Linked DNA regions of Astyanax mexicanus. The protein of the gene in region 2 purifies or fractionates together with the protein of the main gene of each other region. This does not show direct contact. Links are inferred from orthologs where the notes say so. Each region holds a gene or a part of one and is shown on either strand. Other genes may lie near its edges.

Region 1 (7,195 bases), on a different chromosome or scaffold from region 2:
GCCATTGGGCATGTTAAAAACTAAATTAATAAAGATTTTTCTAGAGAAAAAGAAATTCTAAAGTGGCTTTATAGTAGAACGTATAGTTAAAGTCTAAGTTTAAAAGTCATTTTGGAGCATTTTTATTGGTCCACTCATCAAGATGCATTCAAACAAAGTCAAGAACAACTGTCAAATTCACATTATGAAAAAAAACAACTTATTAAGATGTAATTTTGACATTATGACCATAATTATATATTGGATAAGATTCATCCCCTTTTCATAGAAAACATAATATTAATTGGACAATAAGCAAATTACCTTCATGGCCTATCTAAATCTTTATTATTTACTCTATTTGCAGTCAGTGGATTTTCTAAAGTCTAAGGTTCATAGTCGCCATCATAAGCTGGGTATAATTCATATAAATATGATACATAGGATTTAAATTTATTTGGCCAATCAAAAACAAAAAGCTGTAAATATTAACCATAAGAGACTCTTTAATCTGTTAACCTTTGCTGCCAATAAGAACATCCTACACTTTTGGATCAGTGATGCTGTTCCATCTTTTAAATCATGGCATAAACTTACTATTGAGTTTATCCCCAACTAATATATCTCATGTCTGCTCAATCTACTATGGACAGTTTGGACATTTTCTCATGTGCATGTAATTATTTAGACTTGTCTCTTTCTTATCCTTGTTACTACTCAGTCATGTCATATCCTGAGATTTTATTTTGTAATTTTGTTTTGTCCTGTCCCAGCTGGCGCACAACCGAACTTCAACGTTAAAATGACTAAAGTAAAGTCTGTTGTTGTTTCAATGCTGAAACAATGTTGAATCAACATTTAATGTTAAATGTTTGTGCAAACATTGAAATTTTAACGTTGAATCAACATAATGTCCACAACATTCTGCCCTTGGAATCAGCATTTTATATTTTATCACCATATAATTTCTAAAAACGGTTGGTTGGAGGAATGAAAAAGTGTTTTACTTCTATATGTAGTAACTCCTTTTTAATTTAACATCATGTTCATGTTCTATTTGTTTTACTGTTTTTTGTATTTTTTTGTAACTTTCTTTATACTCAGATTAACTGCAGTGATGTAAGTTTATTGTTAACTCTCTGTTAAGCGTAGGATTTTCTAATTTTGGTTGAACACGTTGAAACAACGTTGCTATATCAGCGTTGATTCAATGTTGATTCAACCATAACATCAGCGATGATCAATATTGATTTAACGTTTATTCAAAGTTTAAATGCCAGCTGGGGTGTTGTAAAATCTTATTATTATTTTTTTTTTAAAGCTCTTTTTTAAAAGGCTCTAAAATGCCAAAGTTGCTTTAGGCATATTATTTGGTGTAGCATCTTGATGTTATTGTTCACTGAAGAACTCCTCCTGTCAGCAGTGACGTCACCTGCGTCATCAATAATAATGCGGGATACAGTTCCATCACAAACAAAGACCAGAGATTCTGTTTATCTGCAGGCTGACTGACCAACCAACCAGCAGCAGCCTATACCACCATGTTTCACTGATCTGCTGTAAACCATGAGCACCAGCAACTAGATGCTTTGTTAGCTCAAAAATTATGACTCAAAGTCGACGAGACAAACATCTGACCAGGAAACAACAAAACATTCACTCCAATTATCACTTCCTCCCAATAGAGAGCCACAAGCAACAAAACAGGGCTGTGATTCCAACATAAATATACTTCAACTAAGCCATGCTCTGCTACTCGTCGTTATTTTGTAATGTGAATTTACCAACAGAATATATTTAAAGTAGGACTAGAGCCAATCTTACAAAATACTTTAAATTAATAAGTATTAAAAAAAGTGTTACAGATCATAATAGATAATTCATCAGCCTTAAGTTGGTAGTTTCTACCATTCTGTGCCACAATACTTTCATCATTTATGTGTTAATAGGTTTCAAATAAATAATAGAAATAAAGCAATTTAAAAAAAAAAGATGTCTAGTATTTTTAATGCAATCTCTATACAATTTCTTTAGGAACTTATTATAGATATTTTATAGATTTTAGAGGTTTATAGCTGGTAGTTTGTATTGTTGGGTCCAAATGCTTTCATAATTGTTTGTCAATAGTAGTCATAAATTATTAATAGAATTCCAATAAAGCAATTACAATTGCTTTATTCATTGCTTCAGAATTAAAAAAAAAAAGAATTGTATACAGTTCATAGTATCAAGATATTTCCATTTTCATATCTCAATCTCTTTGCCATTAATAACCTTAATACAGCATAATACAGCTACACATAAATTAAAGTTAGAAATTATAATAGATAACAAGAGCTTGTAAACTATTAATTTTTGCAGGCATGCAGATACTCACCATATGAAATATGTGATGACCAGAAACTGTACAATTCTGTAAATGACTCCCAGAGTCCTGTTCTTCACTACCATGATCTTTGGAGTCTCATAGTCCCAGAAACCCAGGAAGAACTCCCTGAAGAACTCCTTCAGTCCCATACTGACCACAGACACGGGACCCCAGCAGATACTGGTCTCTGTTATCTTCCAGCACACTTTACTGCTCTCTCTCTCACTCTTCCTCTCTCTCTGTACTTCTGTCTCTCTCTACCTCTCACTCACTCCACTTCTCTCTCTGACTATCTTTCTCCCTCTCTCTCTACCTCTGTCTCTCTGATTCTCTCATTCTTTCTTTTCTCACTCTACCTCTCTGACTCTCTCTTTCACTCTCTCTACCTCTCACACTCTATACTTTTCTCTTGAACTCTCCCCCTCTGACTCTTTTTTCCCTATCTTTCCCTCTTTCTGACTTTCTCTCTCCCTCTCTCTCTACCTTTCACTTACTCTACCACTGTATCTCTGACTCCCACCTTCTCTTTTTCTCTCTCTTTTCCTGACTCTTTCACTCTCTACCTCTCTCTATGACTCTCTCTCTACCTCTCATTCGCTCTACCTCTGTCTGTCTCTCTCTCGCTCTATATCTCTTTCGCCTCACCTCTGCCTCTGACTATCTCCCTCTTTTATCAATTTCTTACTCTCTCTCATTCGCCCTAACTCTCTCTTTCTGACTCTTTCTCTTTCTACCTCTCTCTCTGACTCAATCTCTCTCTACCTCTCTTTGCCCTACCTCTGTCTCTCTATCTCCCTCCATACTTCTCTCTATGACTCTCTCTCTCTAGGTCTCTCTCTCTCTTTCTCTGTCTTTCTCCAACTCTCTGGAAACATCTTATCTTATTATGTGGTTTTTCTGCACATCCGTGTTGGGTATTAATTTCATACACAGGAAACAACTGTGCCATGGTCAACACAACACACACACAAGCATATTATTTAAAAGAAAACGAAAATAAACTCTTATAGAAGACTCTACCACTGTCTGTGTTCTAACCCCCAGACAGTGCTCTAAAAGACTGACAAACTTTGACCTGGCCAACTAAGAAATTAGACAGGCAGCACTACAGGGCTTTAGAATATCAGCGCCCAAAAATAAACACAGGTACAGTACAGGTAAACAGAGGGCCCACCCCTGTCATTGAATTACTGCCGTTTTTCACCCGTCAGACTTCTAATTCCTCTTTAAACTGCTAAAACGGAGACTTAATCTAATGTTAAGCTGAGCTAAAGGCTAAAGCTGTTTCCATGTGGGTCAGCCAGACGTCTTCCTGTACCAGTTTCTTCCAGTTTCTTTTTCAAATTATTATGATGAAAGTGTTTGACTTTTTTTTTATTTATTTCCAAAGCTCAGTTTATTTTGATTGCTACTTACTAGCTGTAAGCTGTTCAACAATTAATTACTTGCTAAATATCACCCCCTCTTTTTAAAACAATGTATAGATTTATGTTAAAATACTTTGTTAAAATTTTGTACCATATTTCTGTTTTTTTTTTTGTTGTTGTTTTCCAAAATCCAAAAATCAGGATTACATAAAAGTTACATAACAATATGACAAAAAGAGTGAAAGAAAGAAAAAGATTAATACAAAGATGAAAAATAGATGATGAAAATGAAGCAAGAAAAAGAAAATGTATAGGGAAAACAAAAGAAAGAAGGCGAGAAAACAAAAGAAAAAGTACAAGAAAAAACGAAAAGAGAAAAAAAGGATAGGAGTCGGAATGTAAATAAATGTGATTTTTGATCAGGCGCGTGTTCGGGCGCTCAGTCAGATGCCGGGGTCCTGTGGTCTCCGCTGAGTGACGCCACGCAGCCGCGCACGTGTGGAGCGGAGCGCAGGATCTGTAGCAGCAGCGCTGAACCCAGAATAACAACAATAACGCAGAATAACCCAGAATATCAGGGAATTACAGCGGTTTAACACCAATATCCAGCCGTAACGCGCTGCAGCTCACCTCCAGTCCGCCATGGGAGGATTACAGAAGAAGAAGGTGAGGAGAAATCAGCAGCCCGGGCCTTTAAACTCCCCTGATCACTAACAGCTACTGAAACACTAACTAATAAACTCACTGACAGTCTGTATAACTGTTTAATGCTGCTGAACTATGATTACTGACTGCTGTATAGATTTATCTATATCAACACTGCTTAAATTGTTATTGAATTATATCCAGAACAACACAGTTAGCTTTCAGGCTAATAACAGCAGCTAACGTTACCTGTGACTGCATGGTGAGCACGAGCTGTGCTCACAAAAATACCTGACCTACCTTAACAGAAACTGAACACAACAAATTGCATACTACAATTTATTTTTAACGGGTTTATAGATCACTTTAAGACTTTACTTCAAGAATATGTTATGGTGCTAAGTTAAGTTAAGGTGCTTTTATCGTCATTCCATCTAAGTACATGTACACAGTGCAATTAAATTAACCCTCGTTCCTCTGGAGACATGGTGCAACATAGAACAACAATACAATCTAAACAACAAAGTACAACATAGAGCTAAAACACCACAATAAATACAGCAGACATGAAACATTTAGCAGACATAACACTTTATTACCGATACGGTACAGTAAAAGTGCTTGGTGAGAATAAGGTGCAAAAATATGTAATATACTGTAACATGTGGGTCATACACTATAACAGCAGTTACTGAAAGATTATGCATGACTTAGTGGAACGCCTTTCCACAGAATATGAACAGAGTTGAAATCAGATACTATTTCTCCCTCTAGCTCTCTACCTGTCTCTTTGACTCTCTCTCTCTACCTCTCGTTATGACTCTTTCTCTCCACCTATTTCACTGACTCTCTACCTCTCATTGACTCTCTCTCTCTCTCTGACCACCTCTTTCTTCCGTCTGTCTGTATTGCTCTCTCTGCCTCTCTCTTAAAGTCTCTCTTTCTGTTTCTGACTTTCTCTGACTCTATAACTCTTTCTGACTGTTTCTTTCTCACTCTTTTCCTCTCTTTTACTGACTCTGTACTTCTCTCTCTACATCTCTTTTTCTCTGACTCTCTACCCCTCTCTCTACCTCTCTCGCTCTGTGTACCTCTCTTACTGTCTTATTCTCTCTGACTGTCTGTCTCTTTCTGGCTGTCTCTGTGTCTCCGACTCTATTACTCTCTCTCTAGTTTTCTACTTCTCTCTTAATCTCTCTCTCTTTCTGACTCTTTCTCTGGTTGTCAGTCTCTCTTCCTCTCTCTCACTGACTCATTGTACATCTCTCTAACTCTCTCTGACTCTTACTCTTCCTTTCTCTGACTCTATAACTCTCACTGAATAAAATTTGTGAAGTCGCAGAGCAATTTTATTTTAGTGCATTAGAGATAAAAAAATGAAATGCGAATGTGATTCACCATATTTTTGAATATGGGTTAAACTCCTGAAAACATGCAGATTTCTAAATGATATTTATATATGTCTCATTTTCATAGCAGTGCTTTTTTTAATTCTCTAGATGTTTTCTACATGTTGTGCTATTGCTGTAATGATTTACTTTTTGTTAGTTACAGATGAAAAAACTAAAAATCAAATGCAATATTTCTTAGTTTTTTGACAATGTGAATTGACAGTTGCTCTTTATATTGTACTAGAATTTCTTGGAAAAAAAGAAGTAATTTTAGAACATTTCTATTGATGCATTCAGCATCAGAAAGTTCAGAATATCTTAATATTATCTAAACATTGTGCACATCTGGAAATACAGTATTGATATTAATATAATGCATTATAGGTTTGATGATGTCAGTACATTTTAAACCTCTGTCCTGCTTTATATCTGCTAGTACTTCCTCAAGTTCTAAGCTATTTAATTTTCAGCTCTTTCAATTTGAACATTACATTTGTAGGACTGTAATTAAATTGCACATTTAAACACCGTTGGTATCATGCAGTAAAATAGTATGGCAGCTGTACGTTTGCATGTGAAGCTTTTGCTAGAACTGTTAAGTATTGGGTTGTGACTTTATGCTCTCATAATGTTGATTTATCCTGTCAGTCTTTCTGTCCAGTGGATGAATATTAAGGGTTTATAACCTGTTTCTCTCTGTTTGCAGTATGAAAGTGGGTCAGCCACCAACTACATCAGCAGAAATAAAGCTCGCAAGAAGCTCTGCCTGAGCCTGGCTGATTTCAGGTGAGTACTGGACAAGCATAATACCTAGTACCAACTGATTTAATCCAGCTGATTATGTTTTAATGTGATTTTATTAAACACTGATATATATATATATATATATATATATATATATATATATATATATATATATATATATATATATATATATATATATATATATATATTGCCTTCTTCATTGTTCTGATTGGTTCAAAGTGATTAAATAACCTGTAGGTAGAACTTTGATGAACTAATAACAATGTGCTTCCTCATTTCCTCATTTTTTTTGATTAAATGTAATTTTTATATGTTTACTCACAGGCATATTCCTTTGTTGATATGTTAAAAACAGTATCCCTGTGTGACTATAAAAGATAAAGGATAAAATACCACTGATTGTTATAGTCTACTGTTTTCTTTCATGTTTTTAAACATAAAATAAAAACATAAAATTGAACAAATATTTTTTAGAACCTCAGATATACTAATAACACTATTGCACAAACAAAGTATTATAAGACATTATTAACTGTTTTGAATGTGATTCATATATGTATATATTTGTACCAGTTTGTCGACATCTCTTCTTATTCTTATTTTTTCTTTTTGCATTTTTTTTGCATTTTTAAATGTAATATTAAAAGCTATATTAAAGCTATACAGGAACACATGCAGAA
Region 2 (7,096 bases):
GGGAGGGGCACTGGGTGATGTATGGGTTTAGAGGCAGGGCAGGACGAAGAGCTGATTGGCTGAGCTGCAGCAGCAGCAGTGTGCCTTTTATAGCGGTGAGACCCAGATGGTTGGACATCAGTTGATTAACTGATTTGCACCTTGTATTGTGTTTACATACAAAAGTACACGGACACAACATCCTCAACTATAGTTGAAAACAGTTGAACCTGTGAGGGTGCTGTAGAGGTGGAAAGTACCACAATAAAAGCATTTTATTAATGGTTAGGAAATGTTTGCAAACATTTTAAGCAGGATTGGTATGTTTTGTTACTTTAAAGGAACACATTCAGATATTAATAAAAAAATATATAGTTTAGGGTTTAGTGGCTCTTTGCAGATGCAGCAATACAGGTGCATGCTTTTACTTAATCTACTGTAGGTTTGATTGTTGCAAACTTCTTATACTAATAACAATTAAAAAAAATTCTATCAAAATACTTCCTGAAGCTTCGTTATCTTGTCTAATTTAAATAGCTAAAAGTGGAAACCTACTCAAAACTCAGTATGGATTTTACCGGGCATCTGCTCACACTGAACCAGAAAATTATTTATTTGAACTTTATTTACCATTTATTTTTACATTTTTTACCTTATTCTTTCACAAGAACCTGAATATGGACCTTTATTTTGGTAAAAAACTAACCCAATATTCATGACTGACTGGCTGACTGGTTGGCCACAAGCACACGTAAGCCCATACACACACACACACACAAGCACAGAGACACACACAGGATGTTTCAGGAGTGGGACAGAACATATAAATAAAGAACGCTGTTTAATGTTGTGTGCTTGCTCAGCTGAAAGAACGTAGATTGTCATTTGCAGGTTCCCAAGCCCCTAAAAAGATTGGCAACACCTCTGGTTACAAGTACTGATGCAACACGTAAAACAATTATCTAAATAAAAAGTACTAAACTCATGGAAAATACGTAGTGAAATAAAAGTGGAAGTAGGAGAAAAAATGTATAGTTCAGTAAAATACCTAAGTACAATAGTAAAGTAGTTCTACTTTGTTATACATCTGTCTCTCTTAGGAGAAAAAATGTGAAGAAATCTTTAGTCAGTTTAATTAAAAAGTAATATAACCTTGTCTGAACTTTGTCTTAGCTTCTCCAGGTCATTCCTCAGCTCCTCCATCTCCCTCTGAGCAATGAAAACCTTCTGCTCCAGCCCCAGCAGCTGTGATGATTCCTTCTGAGATGGCCTCAGAACTTTAGATTGCCTCCTGCGCCCGGGATGCTGGTAAATAATATATGGTAAAGATCATGATACTGTAAAGAACTTTTTGAAAGCTTGGAAATAGTGTTTAAATTATCAACCCTATGCCAAATATCATTGCCAACAGTCAAGTGATGGAAGACATGAAACATATTCACTCACCCCATGTGCCATTGATGCAACAGAACCCAAATGTTCTGGCACAGCCTGAGAAACCAGGGCTTGGTGCTCAAACATCTCATTCTCAGCCTGTAAGGCTGCATTGAAACGCCTGCATGATAGAAATTCACATCAATTGCAGGTTATTAGCTGAAAGTGAAGATACATAAACAACAGAACATGGTGGACCATCTTCTGCTCTAGCAGATCTTTAATCTGCTAACTTCCAGGCTTAAGAAAGTCAGGATCAAACCATTGGAGTTAAAAGTTGTTTCTATAATTTTATTACCATATCTGACACCCACTTTGTTTTGGCCATTATGTTTTTTTGTGCTGCAAATACAGGTTTTAAATAATTAGAAAGATATATAAGAGATGTAAAAAAACGAATAATAATGAAACCCCAATTATATCTAAGCCAAATAACTCTCTTACTCACTAGAACTCCCCCAATAGACCACTGCAGTCCTGCATCATTCTGTAGTTCTCGTATGCCCATATTTGGGGTTCCGTTCTAAGCTAAATTTCTGAATGGGCTTTTCAAAAACTTGTCTTTATTACACTCTGTGGTAAATAAATATGTGTAGAACCCTATACGTTATATTCTGTGTGCATTTTCCTACTAAAAGCATCACTAGATCCTCCGACGTACAAGATTGTTTAAGAGGCATTTTTTTTTATCTTTTATTTACTGTTATTTTAAAACTTATTTTAATTTTAAATCAAAATTAAGTCAAAATAAAGGTTGATTGATTCATTTATATGTGTAATATTATTTTTTTATTTAAAAAATAATTATTAAATTGTATTCACACAGTGTTAGCTAGTTAGCTTAGTGTAGCAGCACTGTAATGCTATGTGGTTAAATTAGCCAAGTTAGCTAGCGAGCTAACTGCACACTAAAATAATACAGGTTTATTTTAAACAGGAGCGTATTTCCTATTAACCACTGTTCTCTGAACATGCTAAGTTACATTATTAATAAACGTTTTCTATGTTTTACCTCAAGTCTTCCAGCTGTTCACGCGTTAGTTTCATATCTACTTCAGTAAAGCTGCCTTTCTCCGGGTCCTTCATGGTTGCTATGGTAAACATGGCTGTCGCCAAGGAGGACAGCGGAGCTTAAAGGCTGAATGAGCATTATAAACTGTTAGAGGTGGCTAACCCAGGTCCAGAAAGTAAAACTCCATCCCAAGGTTTTGTACCAACAACCTGGGCGGCTCTGCTGCATCTCAAACCCTGGGATGGGTTTTTAATTTCAGGACCTGGGTTAGCCACCTCTACTGTTGTTAAGAGTCATTCATTTTAAACTAATAAACAACTATCTTTACTACAAAAACAAATAAATAACAACGAATAACAGATGTTAATGACAAAGTAATCAATTAATAATCCATATTATTAAGCCTGTATAACATGAATTTTATTTTATTTCAGAGAAAAAAAAAACACTGCTTAAAATGAGGTCTGGCTGCATAATGTTTTCTGAGGTAAGAAACGAAAAACACGTCTTAAATAAGTAAATGAAAACAAAAAAGGTATTTAAATCTAAACATGTTATAACATTATTTATAACATTTATAACATTTTATCTATTACTGGCATAATGGCTAATTTGGTTGCTGAAAAGATTACTCCACCTTCAGGTAGAATGTTAGACCAAATCCTTACCCTTATTTTTTGGAGGCTTGTCTTGAGAGATTTAGATTTTTAAAAATAACATAAAAAGTTTAAGGGATTGTGTAAGTAGCAGAAAACACCATGCCTTAGATGGTAAGTAAAATAAAATGTAACAGTAGAATTTGGTGTAGTATGTTATGGACAAAGCAAAAAAACCTAAATCCTTCCCTTGATTTAACAAAGGTAACTTCTCCAAACTTAACATTAAGAATTTATGGATGGATGGATTTAATAATTAAAAAATGCATACTGCACAGCACTAAAATACATACTATTCTTTCAAATGAACAAACACTGTTCCCTTATGAATGGATGGAAGGATACATTAATTGATTGATTGAATTATTGTATTTAATGATTTAAAAATACACTGCACAAGAGTTATTAAAACACTTTAAATCATTGAGAGCAAAACCACAATACAGCTTATTTCGTAGTCCTCATTATATCGACACTTTCCTAAAATAATCAACTAATTAATTTTTTCAAGTTTTATTGTCATTTAGAGCATTTATTTGCAGAAAATTAAAAATTGCTTTCAGAGCTCAAATAATGCGAAGAAAACAGTTTCATATTCATAAGGTTTTAAAAGTTCAGAAATCAATATTTGGTGAAATAACCCTGTTTTTTAATCACAGCTTTCATGCATCTTGGCATGTTCTCCTCCATCAGTCTTACACACTGCTTTTGGATAACTATATGCCACTACTGGTGCAAAAAAATCAAGCAGTTTAGCTTAGTTTAATGTCTTGTGATCATCTGTCTTCATCTTATCATTATATTCCAGAGGTTTTCAATTTGGTTAAATCAAAGAAACTCATTATTTTAAGTGGTCTCATTTTTTCCAGAGCTGAAGATGGATTCAAAAAGTTAGTGAGAAGTGTAGTAGTGAGTTGTAGTGAGTAGGGCGCACGCTACAGAATGGAACGCGCCCTAGAAATACTAAGATGGGTGGCAGCAGTTTGCAGACATGCGCAGTAGGGGCGTTAGAGACTATTTCCTAGTACACAGACGCTAGTCTTCTTCCAGGTTACCGTACTGCGATCTGTGTCCCTGCGGAGCGGAGCAGGAGTCGCGCAGGGAGACTTTCTCCACAAATAAAGCCCTACTACCGAGCGCTGGAGCTCCTGCATGGGACTGCAACGGGTTTGCACGACCCCCAGCCCCCCGTACTGTGGTGGAGATAGAAAGCAGGCCAGCTAGCAGCAACGGTCTGCACTCCTCCTCTCCCTCTCTCTCTCTCTCTCTCTTTCTTTCTATTTCTCTTTCTATTTCTCTCTCTCTCTCACTCTCTCTCTATCTATCTATCTCTCTCCAGCCGGCTGGACCGAAGCGAAGGGCTTAACGCTGCTGCTGCTGCACGCCAACTTCACCACTCCGGCACAGTTACTCTGATTTCGGTGCTGCTGGGGGATTTCTCGCTGGACCTCCGCAGTTCGGATCTGGGATTTGAAGCTGGCTGGGGGTGGGGGGGGGTATAATCCTGAAATATTCTGACCAGTAAACCCCCCCGCCTGCCTCCTGGGTTTGGGTTTACACACGCTGGTGGTTTGTTTTATTTAAATTGAGTTGTTTTTTTTTATTATAATTATTAACTTTTGCTGATTCGTCGTTAAGAAGCCCCGTTTCTCCATCTGTACCAACTCCTGCCCGCCTCTCTCGCTCGGCTCCGCGGCTTTAGCCCTGTCCGCTGTACCGTTAGCTCCTCTCCCGGAGCCCCGCCATGCCCGGCCCGGTGGCCGGCAGTAAAGCCCGAGTGTACGCCGATGTGAACACGCTGAAGAGCCGGGAGTACTGGGATTATGAGGCTCACGTGCCCAGCTGGAGGTGAGAGACCAGCCTTAACCCTAAAAACACATTCCCGCGTAAAATCTGTAGTATTTTACTTATTCATGCCTCTGTGTTCCACCCCCAAAACCTGCTGCTGCACGACAACACTGTTTAGCCAATTAAAGGGAATTATCTATCTATCTATAAGTATATGTATCTGTCTATCTGTTTTTGTATCTGTCTGTCTATCTACTTATATTTAGATAGACAGTATATGTAGATAGTCTGTATATTTATGTCTGTGTTTTTAAATCTGTCTGTCTGTCAGTAGGTATATTTCTCTGCTGTTTTTAAATCTATATCTATCTATCTATCTATCTATCTATCTATCTATCTCTATCTATATCTTTTTGTCAGTCTATCTATCAATCTATCTATGTGTAGATTTATCTATCAATCTCTATTGATCTGTCTACGTGTAGATCTGTCTGTCTGTCTGTCTGTCTAGCTATCTATGTATGTCTATCTGTAGGCCTGTCTAATTATAGGCCTGTCTATATATAGGTCTATCCATCTATTTATTAATATTTCTGTCTGTCTGTCTGTCTATACATAGGTCTATCCATCTGTTTATTTATATTTCTATCTGCCTATCTGTAGGTCTGTCTATCTATCTGCCAGTATATCTATCTCTCTGTATGTCTATCTATCTATCTGTTTTTCCATCTATCTATCTGCCTGTCTATAAGTCTATGTGTCTTGCAGTCTGTATAGCTGTCTATTTGTCCATCATATTATCTAAGTTTTACTCTATCTGTTCGTAGGTCTGTCTGTCTACCTGTCCATCTATGACTGTTTGTCCATATGTCCATCAGTCAGTATATCTACCAACATATCAATCTATCTCTGTATTTCTCTTTTTGCCACCTGTTTTTGCTGACAGTCTGTCATTGCTCTGACTGACTTGAGGACCAGTAGACAGATAAACCAAGACAGGTAGATGGTAAAAAAGATAGACTGACTTACAGATAGACTGATTAAGGAACAAATGGGTAGATAATTCATCTTTAATTGGTTAAACAGTGTGTGTGTTTGTGTGTGTGTGTTGGTCATGCTGGTCTGTCTAAGAGTCAGTTTATGTGTTTAACACTCTATAGCTTTCTATTTGTCTAACAGGTTATCTATGTTTTGCTCTATCTGTTTGTATGTCTGTCTGCCTGTCCATCTGACTGTTTGTCTATCTGTCTGTATATCTGTCAGTATATCTGCCTACTTATCCATTTATCTGTTTTGCAACCTGTCTAGGTGCCCATCTCATATGTCTAAAAAATTGTCTGTCTGTTTAATTATCTGTTTAATGGGGGGGCGATATGGCCATAAAATATGGTAATTTCGCGAAAACGATACTCTTGGCGTTATGATAAAACACTGAATTAAAAAAAAAAAAATTTCAGGAATGATCTACTGCATCAAAATGAAAATGTAATTTTATTATTGCATACGATATGATATGGCACACCCCTAACTTGGATATTAAAAATAAGAATTTGATCAGATTTGTAACAGAAGTCAATGATCCAGAATGTCATGATACTAATTCTAATAGATATGTCAAGGGAATTGAGAATTTTCTGTGAAATTTTCTTTTGCTAAAAACATTATTGAATACCCAACAGTTAAGCTGTTTTTCATATGGGGCAGAGATTTTTAGGCTAAATGAATTTTTGGAAGTGATGTTTATAATAGTAGGCCACAGTGACGGGAGAAAGAACTGTGAACGCCTGTCAGCTGATTTGTTCTCAAATGTTTATATTAGAGTAGGGTTGCACTGATTCTGGGAATTCTGGTCCAATACCAATATCCAATATTAAACATGTAGGCTATATATCTGCCAAAGTGGATACACATATTTATAATTTGCAGAGAGACTGGTAAAACTGGTAAAACATTTGTTTGGTAACAAATGTAACATTTGCAACCTACTAATCTAACCAGAACAGCACCATCCATCTGTTATCAAACCCCAGAACCTACTAATCTAACCAGCACAACACCATCCATCTGTTATCAAACCCCAGAACCTACTAATCTAACCAGCACAGCACCATCCATTTATCAAACCCCAGAACCTTCTAATCTAACCAGCATAGCACCATCCACCTGTTATCAAACCCCAGAACCTACTAATCTAACCAGCACAGCACCATCCATCTGTTATCAAACC
Region 3 (7,170 bases), on a different chromosome or scaffold from region 2:
ACCAGAACCCACCTTCCCTGAGACTCGAGACTCTGAAGACTGCTCAACACACGTTTGACTCACTGTATTGAACACCTGATTGGCCTGTGGTTGGTCACTGTAGTCGACACCTGATTGGCCGATGGCCAGTTTGCTCTGCTCAACACTTGATTTGGCTGGACGTCACTCTCTGTCTATGCCCTGTTTTATCACTAAAGCCACGGGACCTCGGTCTACATGTTCATCCATCAGAGCTTTTCTTTCTTCCGTTTTTTTTTTTTTTCTTTTTTTCTTTATTTTTCGTACGTGTGGGTAGAGCTGGATTGATCGCAGGTCAGCCTGCTTCCCCTCTGTCTCTCTCTCTTTCTCTCTGTCTATCTCTCTCTCTGTCTCTCTCTCTCTCTCTCTCTCTCTCTCGTTCTCTCTGTGTTGCTTTGGAGTAAGCAGCCAAAATTGTGTTTTGGTGAACACTGCTCCCACTACTCCAGTTCTTGACTTCACTTGTAGTATGTAAACAGTTATTTTACAATAAAAGTCTTTTAAATCAGAACGACGGCACGCTTTGACCTCCCGGCCCCATTCTGTGTTTCCTTTTAATTCTACTTTACCTTTTTTTTTTTTTTTTTTGTCTGTTTTGTACGGTTACGTTTTTCCAAAAGGTACTTTTTTCCGACAAGCTGTTTTACAGGCCAGTTCAGATCCAGATTATGCAGAATAGAACGATACAGTTCATACTGTTCATACTGAATGCATTTATATGCACTCAAAAATCTGTTCATAATCTGATTACCGTCTTTTTCGTAATATATGGCTCATGAATGAATAATGAATGTCTATTTTCATGTATTTTAAAAGAACTTCTAATTCAGTAGGTCTCGCCGCTTAGTGGTGGTGGTAAAGTAAATTAAGTAAAGCTAAGCTAAGTAAACAAAACTGTAATAAAAAGACTCTCTTTTAAAGTCAAACGAGCGCTGGATGTTAATCTGCAGATTTCTCTCTTAAAAACTGTTTATTTGGGTGAGTAAAGTGCTTCAGTTTATTTACAGTAAGCTTTTGTCAGCTATTTTTGGAAAAATTAAAGAATTTTAAGTGCGCTTCATAGTGCTAAAAATATAGTACTGCAGTTATAATCTGATCACTAAAGTTATAATCTGAGTACTGCAGTTATTTATAATCAGGTTCTGGGAAGTCTCAGTCTGTGCATAAGTGAAAACAGACAGTGGTAGCGGAAATAATCAAGCAGCAGTTATCAGCACAGCACCCGCAATAATTTAGAAGTGACACTAATACTGAAGGAGTTATATAATCTTCTAGTTGATGTATGATCATATTGCAGCTCGATGTGTTAAAAAAGCTGCAGCATAAAGTTCAGGTTTTATCATGTTTTAATTAAATGAGTTTATTAGCTGGTTACAAAACAAAAATATGATTATTGCCTAATTTATATAAAATCTGGAGTTTTCCCTTTATCTGATTACCCAAGTTCATGTGAGCGTGTTAATCAGATTACTGACCACAGATTATGAGGTGCATTTAAACACATTCACTGACACATTTTACAATTCTTGAATTCTTATGAATTCCATCAATTTATTTTTTTTATATCCTTCTTGCCGCAGAGTAGAGTGAACTGTTCTGAGCTCTGATTTTATCTGACGTCTCTGAGATCACGATAAGTAGGATAAATATGGGTCCAGGTGTGAGTTAGTTGCTGAACGTCACACTGTGGTAATGCTTACCTACGGAATATTTTATTTTTTATCTGCGACGTTAGCGGAAATGGTTCCGTTTTATTAATTTTCCAAATGCAAACAGCGAAGAATTGAACACTAATGTATGCTATGGTTTTTAAAACTGTATTAAGTCGACTTTCTGACACTTGAACATGTATTTACATGACGTCCTCTGATAGAGGACAGAATGACGAGATTATTCCTGCATGCTCGAAACTGACACAATTCCGATTTGCTCCCAATTTTGACGTATTTTTTTTTTCTGTCTTTTCCGTATTTTTTTTCCGTACAGGTCAGTACTGACAGTTAGAATTAGAAGAGTTTTCTGACTCTCCCCGACTTCAGGTGAAGTCTTGTCTCTTTGTGCTCTTCAGAATCCTGCTCCTCCGTATTCCTGTGGATGTAGTTCCGTATTTTCCGGCTCTGTTGCTCCGTAGCTGGCAGTAGTTTTCCGTTTTTTCGGCAGGCCGGGAATGCTGGTCTGCAGCTGCGCTCCGTAGTGCTGCTTGTGTAGTTTGGATAGACATTTGCGCTCGCTCCAAATTCCAAGTTCGGATGGGATGTTCTCTGTTTCTCCCTTTATTTTTCCGCTCTTTCTCTTTCCTGATGTTTGTCTCTGCAGTTTGGTATGGAATACCGTTCTTCTTTTTGTTCAATTTCCCCCTTTTTCTTTTTGTTCACATGTGAGGAGTCTGCTGTGCTTCGCCCCCGATGGTACAACTACAGCGCCCACGACCTTCCGACCCCAACCCCGACCCAGACATCGCTCTGCACGTACTCTCCCGTACACCCCCCCGATCCCTGTCCAAATCCGAAATATAACCCTGAAGCGTTCTGTTGGGAAGTGGGACGAATGGGAATATGATGAGAAATGATGTACCATTTTTTTTCCACTTGTTTTCTTGTTTTGAAGTATTGAGATGAAAAACTAAGATGGGTTTTTAAAAATCTGTTCGAGCTTTTTGTTTCATATTCTACATCTCTGATGCTATCCAGGTTATATTCAACTAGGAGACATTATCTTAAACGTTTGGAATGTAGATTTATACTATACCATTAATGGCCAAGTGTATGTTGGCTTTCTGTTTTTTTTTCTGCTTGTTTTTTTTGTTTTTTGTTTTTTTTTCTTTTTAATTATTATTATTATTATTCACTTTTGATACTGTGAAAATCTTTCGTTCAGAAAGATTAAAACATTACAGTTTTGACAAAAAAAAGAAAAGTGTCATGTTTGCTTTCTAGCTTCTCTGTGCTCAGTGTTTAATCTCGGCAGGTGCAGGAGGGTCTTTATAAAGGTAAGTTTAATCAGGTTCTTAGGTTAAAAAAAAAATAAAAATAAAAAATAACCCCACATGTGGGAAAAATCGCCTCGATAATTGCAAACAATTTGCAAAATACATGCATATTGGATTTATGTCAGTAATTTAAGCATAGTAATTCATTTTAGAAAATGAGACTGCACAATTCTAAATACTTTATTTTAAACCAACACACATCTTGTATTGATGCCAAAAATAATATATATCTTTGTTGTCCAATGAAAAAATGCATCTCCAGAACAGAAGCTTCTTAATTTTCAATGGAAGTCAATGTAAAAATTGCTAAAATTAATTTAAGGTAATTTTGGATCATTTCTGTTGATCCACTCATAACCAAATTGAGAGAGTGTAAGGGACAGTTTGTGCCCAAATTATGTAATAACTAAAAACCGACAAAAAAAATTAGCAACAATACAAAGCATATTATAAACGCTGAGGTATCCAAATAGTAAACTAATGTACTGTGATGACAATACAATTTATTAAGATTATATATTAAATCTTAAAATATTTTTAAATAATAAAAAAAAAACGTATATTATTGTCATTTTAACCTACTGACAGTAACAATATAGCCTATATAGCTAGCAAAATCTGACCATTGTGTTATCGAACTGTAACATTAGAGCATTAAAAATCAGTAGGTTATAAATATAGATAACTGAGGATAATCACAGCAGCCCTGTAACAGATCATGAGCAGAAAATGCTCCTTTTACTCATTCCGTGCAGCTCAACAGTTAGAACTACATTTCCCTCAATATATATTATGACTTCATTTTTTCTTAATGTTATTATTTTAATGTTGTAATATTATGACTTCTTATTCTTGAAGTGAACTCTTTTAGTGATTTTTTAAAGAGTGGTTTAAGTAAAACCAAAAATAAAAATATATTTTCATATTCCGATTTTGGATTTTCAGTTGAAATTCAAAAGAATGCATGACACACGGATTGTATAAAATTATTAAACATTTATATACATTATTTATATGATTTTGCTTGATTTTGCCTAATTTCAGCCTCTCTCTCGGCAGCGCCCCCTGCTGGCCTGACTGTTAAAAGCTAGATTTTTGATCACGTGTTGTTCGTTCTCGTCTCGCGGTTTGGCTCGTGTCGCGCGCCGTAGCGCATGCGTAGTGTGTTGGTGAGCGCTGCTGCTTCTGCTGTTTCGCTGGTGTTGTAAACATTAGCAGCTGGAGATTCTCCTTTTTAACTCAGTTTAACCTGAATAACCTCTTTTAACACAGCCCCGCACTACAGCCACCATCCGCCCGCAGCATGGAGGCGGAGAGCCGGCCGGGGAAGGTGAGCTACAGCCGGGCTTTAACCGTTTATCAGCGGGGGCAACAGCGGTTAGCTTTAGTGCTAATAGGCTAGTTTATATACACACTAGCAAACAGCTAAGCTAATTAGCTAACTAACTGTGATACAGTCCACTTTAGCGAGATAACACCTAAACTTGATTAAATTAATCAAAGTTTCAGGTCTCTAAGCCAGAAATGAATTCAGTTAAATAATAGGTAACATAGGTTAATGTGGGTATACAAGGTACATGTTCAGTACTTTAGTTTATACTGTTTTCTAACTTGCTAACTTAGGTAGCTTTACTAGTTAACTCTATACTACAGTAATTCAGTTCAAAATGTGAAACTCTTATTTATATATTATAGATGTATTACACACAAAGTGATCTATTTTAGACGGTTATTTCTTTTATTGTTGATAAATATGGCTTACTAAGACCAATTTCCTGCTGGAAAATGAAATCCACATCTCCATAAAAGTTGTCAGTAGCAGAGGGAAGCATGACGTGCTGTACATTTTGCGGGAAAACAAAACTGCACTGACTTTAGACTTGATAATAAAACACAGTGGATCAACACCAGCAGATGACAGACATGTCTCTCCAAACCATCACTGATTGGTGGAAACTTCACACTAGACCTCGAGCAGATTGGACTGTGTTTCTATCCACTCTTCCTCCAGACTCTGATCCCTTAATTTTCAAATGACATGTAAAATTTACTGATACTTACTTTTGGACATGTAGTAAATTACAAATATCTCATTATTCATATTTAATGTTTCAGCGGAGTTACTCCGGAGAGAGGTCCGCATCCGAGCCTTCAGAAGACGACGATTATGTTCCATATGTTCCTGTTAAGATCAGAAAACAGCAGATGGTAAATTCTAGTTTTTATCTTACAGTTACGTGAGTAATGTTTTAATCCATATTATGGTGATAACTACTACTATATAACTATATATAAGTAAAGAAAAAAAATACTCAAAAAAATGAAGATCAGTCAATGTAAAACATTTCAAGATTTATTTCTGCTGTTAATCTGTGGTGTGTTTTTGGGTTCAGATGCAGAAGATGATGCGTCTGCGAGGGAAGGGATTGACTGAGGAGGAGCAGAAGGACAGCGGAGGAGAACAGAAAGATGAGGACGAGGGTCTCGGGCCGCGATCCAACGTCAGCCTGCTGGATCAGCACCAGCACCTTAAGGAGAAAGCTGAAGGTATGTTCTGCAGTTTCTGTTTTTATTTTATTTAATGTATTTCTGTTAGTTAGATATCTAATCTAAAATCTGCTGATTTTATTTTTGTAGCTCGTAAGGAGTCGGCGAAGGAGAAACAGCTGAAGGAGGAGGAGAAGATTTTGGAGAGCGTGGCTGAAGGCAGAGGTGAGTATATACCTGTTGATTAACTTTATAAAATAACATTAACATTATAAGATACACAGTGTTTCATCTTACTTTAACATTAAAGCAACAGAAACAGTTAATATTATAATTAAATGGAATCAGAAACATTTTCTCTTATTCTAAACCAATGAGTCAGTTTTTGTATATGATTAGATACTGTATTATATCTATAATATAATATAACATTTTACTGTTACTACATCATTTTTATAATTGCAAGCCTGTCACAATGACTATTATTTGAATCATATATTGTTAAAAAAGTTACTGTGGAAAAACAACATTGTAATTTTAGACAATTTTTATAACATAATAATGAAAGTACAACTCTTTTAAAGTAAATAATGTAACTGTTAATTTGCAAAACCAAGTAAGTGCTATTCTTTACACATTTCTTTGTCCGTTTTTGCAAATAAAGTCTTTAGTTTAATATATAGGTCAAGAATGTAATTATCAAGACAGGCCTAGTTTGTAAATAAAAATGCATAAAAAAAAAAGAAAACTAAATTTGTCTCAATGTTTTATCTACATACATAAATATGCATAGAACTCAGTGTTGTAACGCGTCTGTCTGTCATTTATTCCTCCAGCTTTAATGTCTGTAAAGGAAATGGCCAAAGGTATCACATATGAAGACCCAATTAAAACAAGGTAAGTCAGTCTCGTGCTGTATTTCATGCATCCTTACACCAGAGGGTGTTAAAACTCTAACACTAGTGTAATAAACACTAATATATATGCTTTTACTTTGAGCTAAGTATATTTTTAGATGGACATTTATTTACACTTTAAGTAAATGCAGTAAATCAGCCACAGTACTGTGAGATAATTAGAACACCCCATGAATCCCATGTGATTTAGAACAGATTTAAATATTTAGGACATTTGATCTTCCTGTGAACAATATGGACCCGAAATAATGTCTGAGCTTTAAATAATAAGACATAAAGACTCCGCCCACATCCTCTCCAACCATGCTTATCTTCTTCTTCTTCCCCTGATTCTTATTTACCATCTCACAGTATAGTTAAAAAAAATGTCAATGCTATATAAAGAACACATGCTGAAAGTAATGGTTTCTCTGTATCTTTAGCTGGAAAGCTCCTCGCTACATATTAAGCATGCCGAAAGCGAGGCATGAGCGAGTGCGGAAGAAGTACCACATCCTGGTGGAGGGAGACGGCATTCCTGCCCCTATAAAGAGCTTCAGAGAAATGAAGTTCCCTCAAGGTAATGCATGAGTTTGGTTTATAATATAATATAATATTTGTAATGTTTCAGCAGCGCAGAGGACAGAACACAAACATCAGGAAATATACAATATAATCTATATAGAAAAAAATATATTTTTCTAGAAAATTAGAATTACGAGTGTTGCTGTAGATTATGTTGTGCATTGTGATTTGAGATATTGCACATAGTGTAGCACT
Region 4 (7,430 bases), on a different chromosome or scaffold from region 2:
TAGGAAGATTAGCAGTGATTTTCTTTTTGTCCATTTCTTCATCACTCTCATCATCACTTTTAATCTCACTGTCACCATTTTCATTCTTTTCAGGCTGTTTCTTCTTCGTGTTCTTCTCCTCCTCATCATCATCTTCCTCACTCTCAGAGCTACTTCCAAACACTTCCTTCTGCACTCTTCTCACAGCCTCACTCTCCGGTGACTTGAGCTCTTCATTATTCGGCTCTTTTCTTTCACTTTTTGGAGGGGTTACTTTGCTTTTATCTTGCTCTGTCTCATCCTTTTTCTGTCCTTTCTTTTTTATCCGTTTCATCTTTGTTTCCTCGCTGTCTGAGCTCACCGTCTTCTTTTCTCTTTGACCTTTAGACTTTGCTTGCTGTGGTTTTTCTTCCTCTGATAACTCAGAAGATGAGGATGGGTCTTGCTCGTCTTCCTCACTCTCTGGTACCTTCTTTTTCTTTCTTGCTTTAGTTCCCTTATCCTTCTTTTGTTTTCTTGGACTTGCTTTTCCCTTCTTCTTTACCTTCACTTCTGGCTGTTTTTTCTCTATTTTCTTCTTACTCTTCACATTTTCCTTTTGCTCTTCTTCCCCACTCTCTACATTCATGTCCTCGTCACTTTCATCATCTTTTTCTTCTTCTTGTTTTTGTTCTTCCTCTTCGTCATCATCTTCATCTTCTTTTAACTGGTCCTCATTAGCAGCCTTCTCTATTCCAGAATCCGGGGATTCTGATAGACAACAGACAAGCAGTAATGTATGTTTTGCATATATAAAACATTTGTTATGACACTTTGACTAATGAAAACAAGTATAGCATGCTACATGTCCAAAAGTTTATAGACACCTGCATTCAATACATTGTTTCAAATTAAGTGAATAAATGGTGGTGCATTTTTTTACTGCAATAGCAGGCTCTAATCTTCTGAAAAATTAAATCCCACGCTATTTACTTCTACAGTCATTCTTCTATGCCATTCTGTGGTCTGTATTAAACCTATATTAGAAGCTCTTAGTCTAAACTGGATAAGAAAATTAAACAACATTTTTTTATTTTATTTTATTTCTGCTGTTGTGTGCTGCAGTAAACAGGTTCCATGCCTTTTCAATAAAGCCCCCCATTGTTTCATCTCAACTGAGCATACAGGATCTCTTTGTAATCCCATTAAAGACCTATGTTTCTCTACATGCTTTTTTTAATCCTCCACCCTGTTCTTCAAATGGTCAGGACTCCACAGGACAATCACAGAGCAGCTATTATTTGGGTGCTGGGTCAATCTCAGCAATGCAGTGACGCTCAGTACTTGACATGGTGATAGTGTGTGTTGTGCTGGTAGAAGAAGATCAAAAACAGCAGAGCTACTGATGTTTTTAAACATCTTAGCATCACTGCTGAACTGAGAATAATCCAACAACCTGAAATACCCACAGCCAACAGCATCCTGTGAGCACTGATGAAGGACCAGAGAATGAGCAAAACAAACTGTACAGCAACAGACGAGCCTCTGTCTCAGACTTTACATCTACAAGATAGAGCAGTTGGTAAAATACGGTGAGTGGTGACAAAAGCTCCAGCAGCACTGCTATGTCCGATTCACTCATACTACCACAACGCACACTAACACCAAGTTAGTGTCACTGCAGTGCTGAGAATAACCCACCACCCAAATAATAGCTGTTCCATGGTGTGGTCCTCTGGGGTCATGACCATTGAAGAAAAAGGTCGAAAAAGAATAATAAAGTATGCAGACAAACTACAGAACTACAGTGCGTACTTGTAAACCAAAAGTGCTCCTCTGTATGCTCTTGCTTGCATATGGGCAGCAAGTATTGACACAAAGCGGTGGTAAATCACTGTATATATTTGACCTCTAAATGTCAGCAACTAATAAGAATGGTTGTCTGGATGAATTTGGACATACAGACTATATTTGCAATTTTTAAATTTATGAAAGCAAACAAACTGCCTTATACCTGGAAGTACTGACTCAAAACGAGACTTCTTTTTCTGGGCCCTGACATCACAGTTTTCTTCTGCCTCTGCTTCCTCGTCATCATCCTCTCTCTTTCGTTTGTTCTGTGAAGGGTCTGACTTTCTTATTAAAGGTTCATCGTCACTGTCCTGAAAAAAAGAAAAACAAAAAAAGACAGACATTTAAACATTAACTAGTGCATCATACAGAATATAAACAGATTACAAGTTATCGTAATAACACACACACAAACAAAATAAATAAATAAATAATAATAAAAAAGAAGCTTCAAGACTCCTGAGACTCCAAGGCCTTTAACTAGGGCAGAATGGAAGCACTTTCACCCCCTCTTGTGGCATTATTTATATATTGTCAACATCCTAAAATAATTTAATGGTCGTCTAAATATTTTTGGGCAAAATGTACGTTTTTGCCTAAATTATTTCCTCATGATGCTGCATGGCCAGCTGTGGTAAAACCTGTTTTCTCTCTTTTTAAGCAATTTTTAAGCATACAGAGCCTTTGAAAATACTAAATACACCACTCACCTCGACCTGCATCCTCAACAGCTCCTCCTCTACCACTTTTTTCAGCAGGGTTTTGTGCTCCACACTCAGGCACTCTCTGCCCACATGCTCCAGATAGCGCTTCCGTAGTATTCCTAGTGTTAACGTGCTGCACAGACAGTTTACAGCGTTAATAAACACAGAGATACACAGTGAGACTCTCGCGCCTTTTCATTTTTAAACATCAGCAACACAGCTAGCCTAGCTTAGCTTAGCTCATTATTACATGTATGTGTTAGTCAGCCCGCGTCTCTAGACCCACCCAAACCGCCTTAAAACTCTTCTAAACCTCCTCCACTCCGCTAAAGCTCACCCAGTGTCGCTTACCTGAGGTCCGGACAGCGCTGCAGCTGTTTGGAGACGAACCGGCGGATCACTGTCTCTTCAGAAACCATGTTTTAAACTCTGCAGCTCCTCCTCCAACATACACAAACACACACTGCGCCACGGCCGGGTTTGGCGCGCGCGGACACGCACTGTTGCGTCATCACGCACGAAGCCGTTACCAGAGAGAGAGAATTAATACATTTTGGTATAAAACTGATATAAAAAAATAATAAAATACTAAAATAAATAACAGAAATAACTACACAAAATAAATCATTCCGTTTACATAAGAAATATACTGTAATGTGTTTAAAGAGATACTGAGTTATATTTAACTGATAAAAATAATGTTTTAATTTAATTTAAATTTAAAAATATAAATAATAATATAAAGAGAAAAATAAATAATATAAAAAAATTAAAAACGCTCTGAACGGTTTAGTTACCATAAGAAAATATACTATACTAATATAAAATAACTTAAGTTTAAAAAAATAACGCTCAGAACCATAGACTGTTTGTTACAGAATAGGAAGATTTTTTTTTACAATTAATACTGTAAAATATAATTTACATAAGAAAAGGCTGAAGTTAATTTGAATTTATGTACATCTACTTAGTCTGTGTGACATCATCCACAGGAAACTTTCCACAGGAATTTTTTTCTGCATGTTTAGTTTTATATTCTAGATTTAACATCAGAAATTAAATCAAATTGAGCGTTATTTAATTATTAAAACATATTGGCAAAAAATAAAAAAATAAACTACATAAATAAATACATAAATTCCATTACTTTTGGCAATAAGTTTTAGAAAAATAAAATGTGAAGCACATATAGTTTAAAATACACCAATATTATATAATTATTTCATTAACATTAGGATAAACAGTTGATAATAAAAAAGTTTTAACTGCCTATGCAATAGTAACCAGCATTAAGCTTAGTTAATTCAAAGTACTATAGCTAGCTTTGGTTTGTAGTCTAATTGTATGTAGTGAGTGAACAAAAGGGCCAGGTATGGAAAGGCAAAGGGCCGGATGTGGCCCCTGGGCCATAAAATGCCCAGGTGCAAATTACAACACTTGGTAATTGTCCAGTTATGGCCAAACATTTTCATGATTGGTGCAGTTATACCCTCTGAGCCCGCTTTCAGTCTGTAGGGGGAGCTCACAACAAGATTCCACAAAGAAGCGAAATAATAGTAATAGTCTAATTAATAAAATATTCTTTAGATGATTCAATATGATAATGAACAATTACTTACTATTTCCTAAGGATAGTAAACTTTCCTAACATATTAGTTTGCTTGCAGTACGTTATATATATCTCCACTGATTTATTTGCAAATCAATAGTAGAACTACAAATTTAAATAAAGTCCAAAAACAGCGATGTGTAAAAAAAAAGATTTTTTATTAGTGAACCTGTGGATAAAACAACAATTAATATTTATGGACGGCATAATAATACCAGAAAGATGTTAAGGTGCCAAACACTTAGAAAGTGGTGTAAAATCTCTGACAATACTGTTGTTAAGATTTATGTCTGATTTTTAGGTTCAGGTGAGTGGAGTGAGTGTTTTTAAGTGTGAGCAGTGGCTATGTTCTTAGTCAGTTAAAACATTTGCTCAATTGGACATGGGTCTAGTACAATTCTTTTTTACAGCACTGTGGCATGTTCAGCAGGTGAGCAGTTGGCTTTTACCTTTATATAATCATTGACAGTCAATGAGATACTCTTAAATAAACTGTTGTTTATCTACAATGACTCCAAAGCAGGTTCTTGCTTCTTTTGGCTTAAACAAAAACCGCGTCCTCATTATTATCACATACACAACAGAGCAAAGCTTTTAGTCACTCACTTGTTGTGACAGAAGACAATGTAAGCCTTTGTTTTGGATACATATGAAACATTTGTGCATTTGTCCTTGGTGTTTTCTTGGTTTAATGGGTCCCTGCTTGAACAGCACATTAGAACCTATGCTATAGTCACATCAGTGTAACACAGTTAGCTTCCAACAGCTTTGGTACTTAAATGAATAATTGATGTAATAAGTTGCTAAATATGTTACTAAATATGTAATTAGGTGTTTTTATTATTCACATAGATTATGGGCAAGCTTGGGGAGTGGCTCATAGGCTTGTTGTTTTTTGTAGTTGTTTGGTTGGTTGGTTTAAAGCATGCAAGAAAAGGAAATAAACATCTACAATGTAAGTTTCTACGTTTCTAAGTGAAATCAACCAGCTGTTAGAATGTGTGTATTGCAAAGCTGGCTGACTGGACCACTATTAAGACAGCACAGTGGTAGAATTCACCACTTTAAGAACATGTCCATAAAGAGATATCACTCAATGGCTATGTTCAGACTGCAGGTAAATTGTATTTTTTCTCAAATCAGATCTGTTGAGATCACTGTCCACGCTGTTATTTGCAGGTGATCAGAATGGATTTGTATGTCTGGACATCACAAACATATCTGCATGGGATGGTGTGGTATTGAGGTCAACGTCAATAGGTAATATTTAGGGATTTTTTTTTGACCCCCACACTTTTCTCCCTCTGGATTTTATGAGGTCATTGTTTGTCATATGGTGCGTGATGCAAATAATATCTTGAAATCCGATTTGAGCATTCAGAGAGTACAGACTGAAATGCATCTGTACAAATCCAATAGTTATTTCATTTTAAACCACCTCTTAATGTGTATATTTAGCAGAAAAATGTTTCTGGCTGTCCAGACCTATTAAAAATCCATCTAGATACAATCTCTCACATTTGAGCTTATAGTCTGAACATAGCCATAGACAAGTGAAGCCCCAGCACGTCTTTGAGACGTTAGATGTTCACCTACAGCTAACCTAAGACTTAATACTGCAATATTAATTGCAATATGGCCGGATAAGTATGACTGTCAACAGTCTGTCATCTTACAATGATCTGATGATCTCTCACATTTTAAAAATTTAGTAAAAAAAAAAAACAAAAAAAACAAAACAATTTACAAAAGAGTAGGTTGAGGATGGCACACAGTCCAGTAAGAACACACATCATACATCAGTCAAGTATGGGTCACTTCTAAGTACCACTTTCTGCATACAACAACAACGCATTTCACTATTAGGTGCACAATACACCCCATACTCTTCCTTCCACACACACATAAAGCAATAACTTATTTCACATGTACCTTTACAAAGTGAAAAATGTGAAAAATCTGGACAATAAATTAATGAAATAATAAATAAAAAACAAAAACAACTAAAAAAACTGAATGACATGTACCTTCATCCTCAAAAATAATTATAACAATAATAATAATAAGACAAATAAAGCGAAACCACACTGTGGCTCATTTGGGATCATTTTGAAGCAAGTCCATATAAACCCCCACCCCACCTTCAGTGCAGTGTTAGCGTACCAAATTTTACTCCCTCCTCCATTCATGCCATGCTTTTCTCTCCATTCATCCATCTTTTTTGTTTCAACCTCAAAATGACCGTGGACGTAATTTCCAGTTATAGTACCTGTATCCTATTCCTTCATTCTACATCTCCACATCTCCTCATTCTACTTATCTTCTCTCTCAGTCCTTGTACACAGTCTGCTGTCCGTGTCCCCTCTCATCGTGCATAATGTGTCTCCGCACATGGATCCGCCTCACCCTTCTGTCTCCACCCCCTACGCCAGCCCCGTCCTCCTCAGACTGGCCCACACCTGGAGACGAGACGCCGCCGGACTCCAGCAGAGCCATTCCTCCGTGACCAGAGGCTCGTCCATTCTCATAAATTAAGATGTTCAGGGTTTCCTCAAAGATGCGAGCTTCTGGAAACTCAACCTGGGAGAGGAGTAAAAGGTGTGTCAGGTTGGGTAATGTTTAGTAAAAAATATCTGTATGCCAACTAGGGGTGGGTGATATGGCCCTAAAATAATATCACGATATTTCATGGTATTATCGCGATAACGATACTCTTGGTGATATGACAAGAAATAAAAAAATACACTACTGCAACAAAACAAAACTTAAATTTTATTATTGTATACGATATCATATTGCACAGTTAGAGGTGTGCAATATGATATTGCACACCTCTAACTAAGATATTAAAAAAAACAAGAATTCTAGCATATTTGTAACAGAAGTCAATGATTCAGAATGTCATGATACTACTTATAATAATGCACTCCAAATATCTCCATATATCCTGGATTAAAGTAAAATAAGTGATACTGAACAGATATAATCTGTCTCTAGTAGATATTCAATAGGAAATGAGAACAGTGTAATTTTTTCTTTTGCTTAAAACAGCCGAAAAAGTAGTATCCTGATGTGATAATTAGGAGTGAGTGTTATGGCACGATATTTCAGGGTATAATATTGTTCACAATATTCAAAAATGTTGCCGATATTATAGTGTACGATACGATATGGCAAACCCCAAATGCCAACTATATCTGTATAAATGTATATCAATACATACTGGTTTTCTGAACTAGAGTTAAATTTGTCTGTTTTGTTTAAAGAGAAGCACACACTTTTTGAAGTTAACATTATAGCCTAAAAAC

The links.
Region 1: the proteins of csnk2a2b (region 2) and pes purify together in Homo sapiens (affinity purification with mass spectrometry; 3 studies listed by BioGRID and IntAct, with this or other methods). This does not show direct contact. The link is inferred for Astyanax mexicanus from reciprocal best matches to the Homo sapiens genes CSNK2A2 and PES1.
Region 3: the proteins of csnk2a2b (region 2) and probable ATP-dependent RNA helicase DDX41 purify together in Homo sapiens (affinity purification with mass spectrometry; 3 studies listed by BioGRID and IntAct, counting the BioPlex papers as one, with this or other methods). This does not show direct contact. The link is inferred for Astyanax mexicanus from reciprocal best matches to the Homo sapiens genes CSNK2A2 and DDX41.
Region 4: the proteins of csnk2a2b (region 2) and hirip3 purify together in Homo sapiens (affinity purification with mass spectrometry; 6 studies listed by BioGRID and IntAct, counting the BioPlex papers as one, with this or other methods). This does not show direct contact. The link is inferred for Astyanax mexicanus from reciprocal best matches to the Homo sapiens genes CSNK2A2 and HIRIP3.

The regions. Positions count from the first base shown.
Region 1 is NC_064429.1:31,266,368-31,273,562, reverse strand, and holds the start of pes (pescadillo), read left to right. Parts: upstream 1-4,179; 5' UTR 4,180-4,356; coding exon 4,357-4,380; intron 4,381-6,456; coding exon 6,457-6,536; intron 6,537-7,195. Other genes in the region: p2rx2 (P2X purinoceptor 2), read right to left, coding at 2,357-2,496. UniProt on the Homo sapiens protein: Component of the PeBoW complex, which is required for maturation of 28S and 5.8S ribosomal RNAs and formation of the 60S ribosome.
Region 2 is NC_064417.1:7,239,021-7,246,116, forward strand, and holds the start of csnk2a2b (casein kinase II subunit alpha'), read left to right. Parts: upstream 1-4,095; 5' UTR 4,096-4,825; coding exon 4,826-4,929; intron 4,930-7,096. Other genes in the region: ccdc113 (coiled-coil domain-containing protein 113), read right to left, coding at 1,132-1,284, 1,426-1,534, 2,426-2,517.
Region 3 is NC_064426.1:3,134,142-3,141,311, reverse strand, and holds the start of probable ATP-dependent RNA helicase DDX41, read left to right. Parts: upstream 1-4,159; 5' UTR 4,160-4,310; coding exon 4,311-4,337; intron 4,338-5,122; coding exon 5,123-5,215; intron 5,216-5,400; coding exon 5,401-5,554; intron 5,555-5,644; coding exon 5,645-5,719; intron 5,720-6,330; coding exon 6,331-6,391; intron 6,392-6,833; coding exon 6,834-6,970; intron 6,971-7,170. UniProt on the Homo sapiens protein: Multifunctional protein that participates in many aspects of cellular RNA metabolism. Plays pivotal roles in innate immune sensing and hematopoietic homeostasis.
Region 4 is NC_064426.1:34,700,777-34,708,206, reverse strand, and holds the start of hirip3 (HIRA-interacting protein 3), read right to left. Parts: upstream 3,017-7,430; 5' UTR 2,933-3,016; coding exon 2,865-2,932; intron 2,647-2,864; coding exon 2,520-2,646; intron 2,121-2,519; coding exon 1,973-2,120; intron 730-1,972; coding exon 1-729. Other genes in the region: kctd13 (BTB/POZ domain-containing adapter for CUL3-mediated RhoA degradation protein 1), read right to left, coding at 6,451-6,702. UniProt on the Homo sapiens protein: Histone chaperone that carries a H2A-H2B histone complex and facilitates its deposition onto chromatin.